2 linked regions of the Ovis aries genome follow. The protein of the gene in region 1 interacts with the protein of each later gene in a pairwise test. Links are inferred from orthologs where the notes say so. Each region holds a gene or a part of one and is shown in the gene's direction. Other genes may lie near its edges. The genes, in order: GRB7 and LAX1.

Evidence for each region.
Region 2: the proteins of GRB7 (region 1) and LAX1 interact in binary tests that used the Homo sapiens proteins (3 or more experiments, as listed by UniProt). The two-hybrid records come from large-scale screens. The link is inferred for Ovis aries from reciprocal best matches to the Homo sapiens genes GRB7 and LAX1.

Annotation. Positions count from the first base shown.
Region 1 is NC_056064.1:39,846,533-39,851,040, forward strand, and holds the start of GRB7 (growth factor receptor-bound protein 7), read left to right. Parts: upstream 1-1,571; 5' UTR 1,572-2,423; intron 2,424-2,948; exon of another isoform or gene 2,949-4,508. UniProt on the Homo sapiens protein: Adapter protein that interacts with the cytoplasmic domain of numerous receptor kinases and modulates down-stream signaling. Promotes activation of down-stream protein kinases, including STAT3, AKT1, MAPK1 and/or MAPK3. Promotes activation of HRAS.
Region 2 is NC_056065.1:1,326,287-1,330,885, forward strand, and holds the start of LAX1 (lymphocyte transmembrane adapter 1), read left to right. Parts: upstream 1-1,535; 5' UTR 1,536-1,775; intron 1,776-2,105; exon of another isoform or gene 2,106-2,111; 5' UTR 2,112-2,215; coding exon 2,216-2,304; intron 2,305-4,599. UniProt on the Homo sapiens protein: Negatively regulates TCR (T-cell antigen receptor)-mediated signaling in T-cells and BCR (B-cell antigen receptor)-mediated signaling in B-cells.

The DNA of each region.
Region 1 (4,508 bases):
AGTAGTTGCGGCACACGGGCTTAGTTGCTCCACGGCATGTGGGATCTTCCCAGACCAGGGATTGAACTGGTGTCCCCTGCATTGTAAGGTGGATTCTTAATAACTGGACCACCAGGGAAGCCCTGGTTCTTTGATTAACATCAGTCTCCCCGATTGGGCTGCATGAAGATAACGGTGGGATCTGTTTTGTTGCTCACTATATCCCCAGTGCCAAGCATGCGGTTGGCATATAGTAGGTACTTAACAAATATTAGCTGAGTGAATGAAGAATTGATTGAGTGAATTGTCTACCGTGTTTTTCACATGATATCCAGTGACCCAGGTGACCTTGCCTCTTTCCCCACTTCTTCACTTAGTCCAGTCTGGTTTTTTCAAGGAAAACTGAGTTTGGGGAAAGTTGAGCATCCAGTCACTCCTCCAGGTCCCCCAGGGCAGATCTCTTATCACCCCTATGAACTGTTTGTTTACTGAACTGTCACCCACTTGTGGGATGCGGCTGGTGCCTTTGATCTCAGTCTCCTAGGCCCTCTCTCCAACCTTGTGTTTGCCTACTGCTGAAGGCCAGCGCTAAGGGGAGTCCCCTGGCACCTGGCCAGAGCTTTCCCCAAACGACTTCTGCCACTGGGAGACCTTGCCTAACCCCTTCAATTTCAGAAGGAAAACCTGAGACTGTGGACTTTGCTTAGAAGGGAGGGTATATGCTGGGTGCCCCTGAGGGGCCAGGGTGCAGCCTGGGTGGTCAGACTGTGGCTGGAGGTCAAGGGGCAGGCCGTGTTGCTGGACATCCTTCTGGCTGGCTTCCCTCTTTCATAGAGTGCCCTTTGCCCCAAGGGGTAAGACCCTAAGCAGCAGACAGGCCCCCTAAATTGGGCAATGAACAGACCAGATTTGGGAAGGGGCGTGGGGAAGAGTAGGCGAGTCCCTTTTCTCTGATCTTCCAGGTCCCTGCTCCTCCCTCCCAGGTCATGAGGACTCTAGATCTTTGCTTTCGGGGCTGTACAGTTTGACTGTTTCTCCCCTGGCACCTGCTACAGAAAGACAAAAACAATCCCAGCCAGGGTAGAGTGTCAGGGAGTCCCCGCCCCTCCTCCAGTGCTTCCTCCTCCCATGCCCCTCCCTCAGGCCCCGCCCCCACCTGCCCAAGATAATTTGTTTCCTTGGGTCAGAAGCCTGGACAACAGAGCTCAACCTCCCCCGACTCCTACGTTCAAAGTCGGGACACTCTCCTACACCTGTAGAGAAGAGGGAGGGGGTTTGAGATCAAGCCCAGGTACCTGAGGTTCCTAGACAGCGCCGGACTTCGGACCCTGTGTCCTGCTACTCCAGCTGGGGCTCCTCCAGGTAAGGGCACCGAGACTGGTTGCAGACGACAATCTGCTCCCACTCCCAGCTGCACCAGGGCCCCAGGCTGTGCCAGTCTCAGGGCCAGGAGCTGACTGGATGGCTGCCCAGGTGGGCAGGACAGGAGGCCGCCCGGCTCCCCCTCCCTTCCCCTCTTCAGTGATGTCAGGCCAAGGGCGGGGAAGGGGGTGGGGGGGACAGGTAGTTAAGAGCTTGGCATCTCCCTTCCTAAATCGGTGGCCCCAGCCAGGTGTGCCAACACCCAGGGTCCAGGTAAGGACCAGAGCGCGGCACTTCGTCTTGGGGGCGGGGAGCACCAGTAGATCCCGGAGAAAGATGTGGAGATCTTTGGAGAATATGGAGAAAGATGCCGCCTCCTGCTGTGTTTTCCTGGAGGCCTCACTTTCTCTTTTCCTCCAGCCTCCCATCCTGCCCCCTCCTCACTATCTGCCCTCGGTCTTTCCCTGTTCTCACTCCCTGTTCTCTCCATTCCTTCGTCCCTCTCCACCCCGCCCCCCAACAGCCCCAAACACACACTCCAACCTGCTGATGGGGTCAGGGAAGCAGGAATCCAGATTCTTTCCTCCCCGAGAGGGGCGGATTTCCCGCTGAAACTAGCCCCTCCCCACGTCCCCAGAGAGAGAGCTGGGAGGGGTGTCCCAAGCCGAGGGGGCAGCCCCAAGTGTCTCCAGGCTCCGTCTGCTTTGACCCCAGTTTGAGTTCCCCCAAGTCTTTATTAAAGACAGATGTCTCTGTGGGGGCAGTGGGGCACCCTCCAATTTGGAGGGCAGTAAAGGAGACAGATTCTCTGAATTGCATCCGTACTCAGCAATACAGGCTTCCCTGGTAGATCAGCTGGTAAAGAATCTGTCTGCAATGCAGGAGACCCCAGTTCAATTCCATTCCTGGGTTGGGAAGATCCCCTGGAGGAGGGCATGGCAATCCACTCCAGTATTCTTGCCTGGAGGATCCCCATGGACAGAGGAGCTTGGCGAGCTACAGTCCTTGGGGTCGCAAAGAGTCAGTCACGACTAAGCAACTGAACTGAACTGAGCGACTCAGCACAGCCCTCCGGTGGGAAGGTAGGGGGTGGGACAGGCCCCGGGGAGGGGGGTGGTCCCTCTGGCTTAAGAAAGAAGTGGTCTAGGTAGGCTGAAGGGATAGATGCTGGGGGTCTGCAGCGCAGTAGGGCCTGGGGAGAGTGGGTGCGCTGTGCGCATGGGGGAGGGGGGCAGATTGCCTTGTCCGTCTGAACAGTCTTGGGGAAGACTCATCCCAGTCGGGGTCTCCCTGGCACGCTGGGGATGGAGAATACTCCTGCCTGCCCTTGCCAGGCCTTCCAACCCCACTGCGCCTCGAGAATGCCCCCTCTTGGTCTGCCTGTCCTGGACTCTGCTCTCCCCTCTCCACCCCCCGCTATCGTGCTGGGGGGGCCCCCCGTGAAGGCAAGCAGCCTGTAATGATTAACTCCACAGACACTCTAGCATTCTTCCCGAATTAAACTTTAAAAGAGCTGCCCCCCTCATTCCCATTGGATGTTTTTCCCCTAGTGAGGGAGGGGGCGGGGCCGCAGGGTCCGGGGGCCCTCCCCCAGCTCCAGGTCAGCTAGGGGTTTCCCGCCTCCTCACCTGAGCCCTCACCCTAAGGGCTCCCCCACAGGTAAAGCCTTCCTCCTAACTAAATCCCGATGCGGGCGGGGCGTGGGGTTCCTGGGCCTGGCGGGGGCCTTCCCGCCACCTCCAGGCCCCAGCTCCAGCCCCTCCCCACCCCACCCCACCACCCCACCCGGTACCGAAGGTGGCCTTGTTTTCTACCGGCCCGGCCTTCTACCCTGAGCCCTGCCACCCACCCTCGGGGCCAGCCAGGTGGGGCAAGATTCAGGAAGTAAACAAGGAGGCTGGAGGCGGGAGGGCTGGAAGGAGGGTGGGGCCCGAGCCACGGGGGCGGGGAAGTCGCAGAAGGGAGTCACAGTACTAAGGGGACAGATTGATGTGGGGGTCGATTTCTTCAATATAACCTTCCCAGGGCCCCAGTTGGAAAGTTTCAGGTCTCTTGGGGGTGGTTGAGGGGGCTGCCCAGGGGAGACAGCTAGGATCGGTTTCTCTCGCCTCTCCTCTCTTTGGTCCTGACTCCCGAGTCCTGTCCTTCCTTAGAGGGGTCTGGAGAGCTGGGTGATGGGATCTGAAGGCTAAACCCATCCAGAGTCAGCCTTCCCGCCCCCCACAGAGGCCAGACTCAAGTCTGATTCAAATCTACCCTCTCCCTTTCCAAACGCTGCCCAGATTCCCCTTCCCTCTGGGATGGGAGAGGATCCAGGCCTCCTGGTCTCAGACCACGCCACTGTTGGTCTCTGGCTTCCTGGAGCGGGTGGTTCCTGCAGCCCTTCCCCTAGTCCCCCCTGGGATGAAGTGAGCAGGGCTGTTTGCCAGAGGTTAGACGGGGGTGGGAGTGGGGGCCTTGTGTTTTGGTGTTGACGTGCTGGTGTCTCTTGGTGTTCCATGGTAGGTGGATCTTTCCCTTCCTGGCAGGGCCCCCAGCCTCGTCGCTGGCTCTCCCTCCTGGCCTTCCCCTGTCTGCCTGTCTGTGTCTGTCTTCCTGTGTGTCTTGACTTTCCACTCCTGCTGCTGAGTATGCCTTTGATCAGAACGCCCAGGAGAGTATATGAATTAAAAGGACCCTCATTTCCCAGGGATGATAAGGATGAGACCCTCCCGGGCCAGCCGAGTCCTGGATGCTAAGGGTGGGCAGCAGCAGCAGAATGCAAGTCTGGGGGGCTCTGGACAGGAGAAGGAGCACTGCATGTTTCTTTGGGTTACTTTAGGTACCCCAGGGGCACCCCTGTGAGGTCAGCTCCACTCCAGATGGGCTTCTGAATCCCGGCCAGGCTTTTCTTCTCTCCCGCCTGGGTGAGGGGGCTCCTGGGCTGGGTGGTGGCTACCTGGGGCCCTTTGCAGGTTGCACCTGGACCTGGACTGGAGGTAGGCCAAAGGTGGGGAGGAGGAGATGATGTCAGAGGAGCCTCAGCCTCCCCCCCCCCCCCCACATCTTCCTCCTCCCCAATCCTGTTCTTGTGGTGGGGGGGGGAGTGGAGGGGATGGGTAGAGGCAGGGTTGTTTGTGTTTCTCCTAAGCCAGGAAGTAGTGGAGATGAGTCAAGGGTGAATGGAG
Region 2 (4,599 bases), on another chromosome or scaffold:
AGGCAGGTAAGGTGATCTGGTATTCCTATCTAAGAATTTTCCACAGTTCATTGTGATCCACACAGTCAAAGGCTTTGGCATAGTCAATAAAGCAGAAGTAGATATTTTTCTAGAACTGTCTTGCTTTTTCTATGATCCAGCAGATGTTGGCAATTTGATCTCTGGTTCCTCTGCCTTTTCTAAATCCAGCTTGAACATCTGGGGGTTCACGGTTCACGTATTGTTGAAGTCTGGCTTGGAGAATTTTGACTATTACTTCGTTAGCGTGTGAGATGAGTGCAATGGTGCGGTAGTTTGAGCATTCTTTGGCATTGCCTTCCTTTGGGCTTGGAATGAAAACTGATCTTTTCCAGTCCTGTGGCCACTACTGGGTTTTCCAAATTTGCTGGCATATTGAGTATAGAACTTTCATAGCATTATCTTTTAGGATTTGAAATAGTTCAACTGGAATGCCATCACCTCCACTATTTTGTTCATAGTGATGATTTCACACTCCAGGATGTCTGGCTCTAGGTGAGTGATCACACCATCATGATTATCTGGGTCATGAAGATCTTTTTTGTACAGTTCTTCTGTGTATGCTTGCCACCTCTTCTTAATGTCTTCTGCTTCTGTTAGGTCCCTACCATTTCTGTCCTTTATTGAGCCCGTCTTTGCATGAAATGTTCCCTTGGTATGTCTAATTTTCTTGAAGAGATCTCTGGTCTTTCGCATTCTGTTGTTTTCCTCTATATCTTTGCACTGATCAAGTGGTTAAAGGCAACACCAGAGCAGTTAGGTTTAAAACACATATGCGGTCACCAGGAGTGAATGGTTTTCTTCTACTATCAGGACGAATTGCTTCAGACACCTGGTTTCTGTTTTGAGTGGTTGGTTTAATTGGTTTACTGTGGCGAGGGCAGGGGTGCAGCCAGAGCCGGAAGACCCAGAGCTCAGTCTGAGGCCTGGGAGCCTCCTGTGAGGAGGCTGTTTCCCTCAAGCATGGGGGCAGGAGAAAATAAGAGGGGATGGAAGACTTGGCTGACTCAAACACGCTGTGTAGATGATAAGATCACACAAGGGAAAACCTTGAGATGGTCGCAGGCAGGGGGACGTTCTTCAAAATTTTGTTAAAGCAGCTGTCGAGGTTCTGAGGTTTGGCTCTGTCTGCTTCCCCATCTGCCGTCTTCCAGACTGCCCGTGCGCATGCCGTCTGCTCTTGGCACCAGGTTTGGGAAACCCTGCACCCACGGAGCCAGCCACAGGCACCCAAAATCTGTATTTGTTTCTAAAAAGCACCTTCCAGTGCTCCTCAGACGCTGAAACAAACACTGTCAATCCGGAGGCCGATAAAACTCAGTATCACAGAAACCCAGGGGGAGCAATCACACACACCCTATCACCTTGACCCCTCTTGAATCACGCTCCCCGCAGACCACAGCGCATCAGCCAGCCCAGGCAACAGGGTGCAGGCGCCCTTGCTTCTATCATATTGAGAGCTGAGCAGCACTTCCTGGGCCCCAGGCTTCATCAGCACGTCGGTGGTACTGCTTCCTGTGGCTGACTATCTGTTTCCATTCTGGCAAAGTGTTTGCTCTCTTCTCTCTGCTTTGGGGGTTTGGGGGAGGATGAACTTCTCAAGGAGCCCGTCTCTGCCCTCTTGGCCGTCTCCCCCTCGGAGCCCCGCACGTCCCCGCCACAAGGCAGAGCGTCTGGCGTCCCCCTGAGCCGAGCTGGGGAGCTCCACACCCAGAAGCGCTCTCCCCTCTTGCAGTCAGCATCGCAGCCACAACCAGGTAGAGCCAAACTTGCTGTTTTGTATTTTGGGTCAAGTCAGCCTGACATTTCAGGGATAGACGCAAGGTAGAGTTGGTTGTGGGAGAGAAAGTTCTAGAAAGAAAGACTGGAAGCTTTAGAAAGGGAGAAGTAAAAACCAATAGACTTTTTGTGATGGATTTTGATAAAGATTTAAGAAGATGAAAATTTGAGAGTCGAGTTGTATGTCAAGGAAGGTTCAGAAAATGGAGACCAGGAGGATTTCTGTCATTCTTCTTTACTAAAAAAAAATGCTTATACTAGATGGGATTATATGTAAAAGACAAACCAATTCTGCCTTTTCTCTTGAGAGTCAGCAGTTTAGGAAGAGACAGGAAAAGTGGCAAGCTGACTGGCAAGCTGATGACGACTAAGAGAAGGCCTAGGAGGAGAAGCTGAAGCCAGAGAGGGTCGCAGAATAATGGATGCCACCACGTCAGCACAGTCGGAGCCCGCAGGGAGAACCTCAGAGCCCAGCACTCTGCGGGGAACCCTCGGCAGCCTGAACAAGTGAGTGCCAGGGGCGGTGAGCGCTCCCCTCCCCTGATTTAGAAAGAGGGTCCTGGTCTATCCTGGGGAGCTTCTACCCCAGCAGCCTTGCCACCCCTCACCAGGCTCTCGTTTCCTAAGACCGCTAAACTCTTGGCTCAGAGAGGTTTGCTCAGAACTGCTGGGAGGAAAGGAATAGGTATTGCGAACAGAAAGGAGTTGTTGGGAAGAGAGGAAATATGATAACACACCACTTCCTTAGAGCTGGCTTCCTGGCATGGCTGGGTTTCTCATGCTCAGAGGCCCGCATGGCGGTCCTTGAGCTTTCCTTTTTCAAGTCCCACGGATCACTCCTCAAAGAAACAGAAGCAAAAACCAGTTTCTACTCTGATGGAAACAAACGGCCCACTTTTTACACAGATGTGCTTTTACGTCCTAAACACTTGCCATGAATGAAAATGGAATCACAGATATGATAAAGACACAGCCTTGGATCATAAAACCCCACAGCATTAATCATAGATGTAAATCTTACAGTTAAAACCTTCAATATTATATTAACAAAAAGTCCATCAATACTTGAAACTTTGACACTGAGAGGTATTGATTTCAGTGCAGTGATAAAAGCACAGCTCAACAGCAATAAATTAAAAATCACTGTAGTTTGGGGAGGTAAATGTCATTACCATGATAAACAAATACCTGTCCCCTGCAGGTGGACAAGGTCGTTGATGGGGAAGGAATTCATAAAGTGTCAGAATCCTGCAGCACTCCTCCAATACTATTTCTACATCCATTCATTTGATAATTTATTCATTCATTCATTTAACAAATATCCATCAGGTTCCTACTGAGTGCCAAGCACGGTGGCAGGCACAAGGTGAATAGGACAGACAAGGACAGCCTCCTGGAGGTTACAGTTAAGTGGGAGGGTCAGATACAAACAGATGAACAAAAGCATGGCTAGCATAACATCAGTCAGTCGTAAGCTATGAAGAAAAACCAGGGCAGAGTAAGGGGACTGGAGGACCCAGGAGGGTGTGACTAGGGAGGACCTATCTGAGGAGGTGACATTTCAGAAGAGTCCTAAATTAAATGAGGGGATTGAACTGCGGGAGAGGGAGCAGCGAGACTGAGACAAGACTGTGCTTTGCTGGAAGCAGCATGGAGTCCTGGTCATCAAGGTCAGAGGAAAATAGTAGGAAAGGAGGTCAGAGGCAGGCAAAGGCAGAAGAGAAGAGGCCGTCACATTCTCACCTGTTAGGGACAATGGATGCTATCCCACGTGTGATGAGAAGTCATGGGGGGTTGCAGAGGGGGCACGTGATCTGATTTAACCGTTCAGAGGATCACTCTAGCTCCTGTGTGAACATAGTATGTTGGGGCCAAGAGTGAAAGCAAGGAGCTCATTAGAGAGGTTCTGGCAAAGGTCTGTGTGGAACTAGTGGTGGCTCAGACCGAGGTGGTGGCAATGGAGGAGCAAGAGGTGATGCTTTGGGGTACATGTCCCGGTTGAGCAGATAGAAACTGCTGGTTAACTAGCAGTGGGGTGTGAAAAAGAAAACATTCAAGAATGGCTCCAAGGGTTTTGACCAAGCCATCAGATGACAGGAAACACCAGAGGAACAGGCTTATGGGGGGTGGGGGAGAACAGGAGTTCTGTTTTAAACATTTTTGGTTTGAGATGTCTATTAGGTTACTACATGGAAATGTCCGGTATGAAACTGGGTGAACAAGTCTAGAACTCATAAGGACAAAAACCTTCCCTGATGGATGACCTGGTTTCTAGCATTTGGAGGGGCAAGTCTGCTAGTGATGCACTCTGTAACCTCAACTGGCTGCTTCCTATAGCCAAAACAGAGCTAGCCTGGCCCTGCCCAGGAATTGCGAACAGCCCGGTCCTTACCCAGCGCATCTGCATGGTCAAATTCCACAGCAGAGCAGAGTGTTGCTTGAAGACCAGCCCCACAAGCTGATGCTACAGGGATTATTAAATGCAAGCAACCTGGACTCTTGTCCCAGAGCTGCTGCTTAATTGTAAGTGGATAATCTCTTCCAAGCAAGACAGAAAGCTGAGGGGCAGGGAACAGGGTAAGCAGGAGCAAATGGATTTGACAAGTTTGGAAGACAGTGTGAAGCCATAGAAAGAACAGTCTTTGGGCCCAAACAGACCTAGATTTCACATTCCATCATGCTCCTTCCTACCTATGTGATCTTCCCTATGTTACTCTACCTTAGTGAGTCTAACTCTCAGGTTCCTTGGTCACAAAGAGAGATGGGATCGTTATACAGATTAAATAAGCTTTAATGCAAACC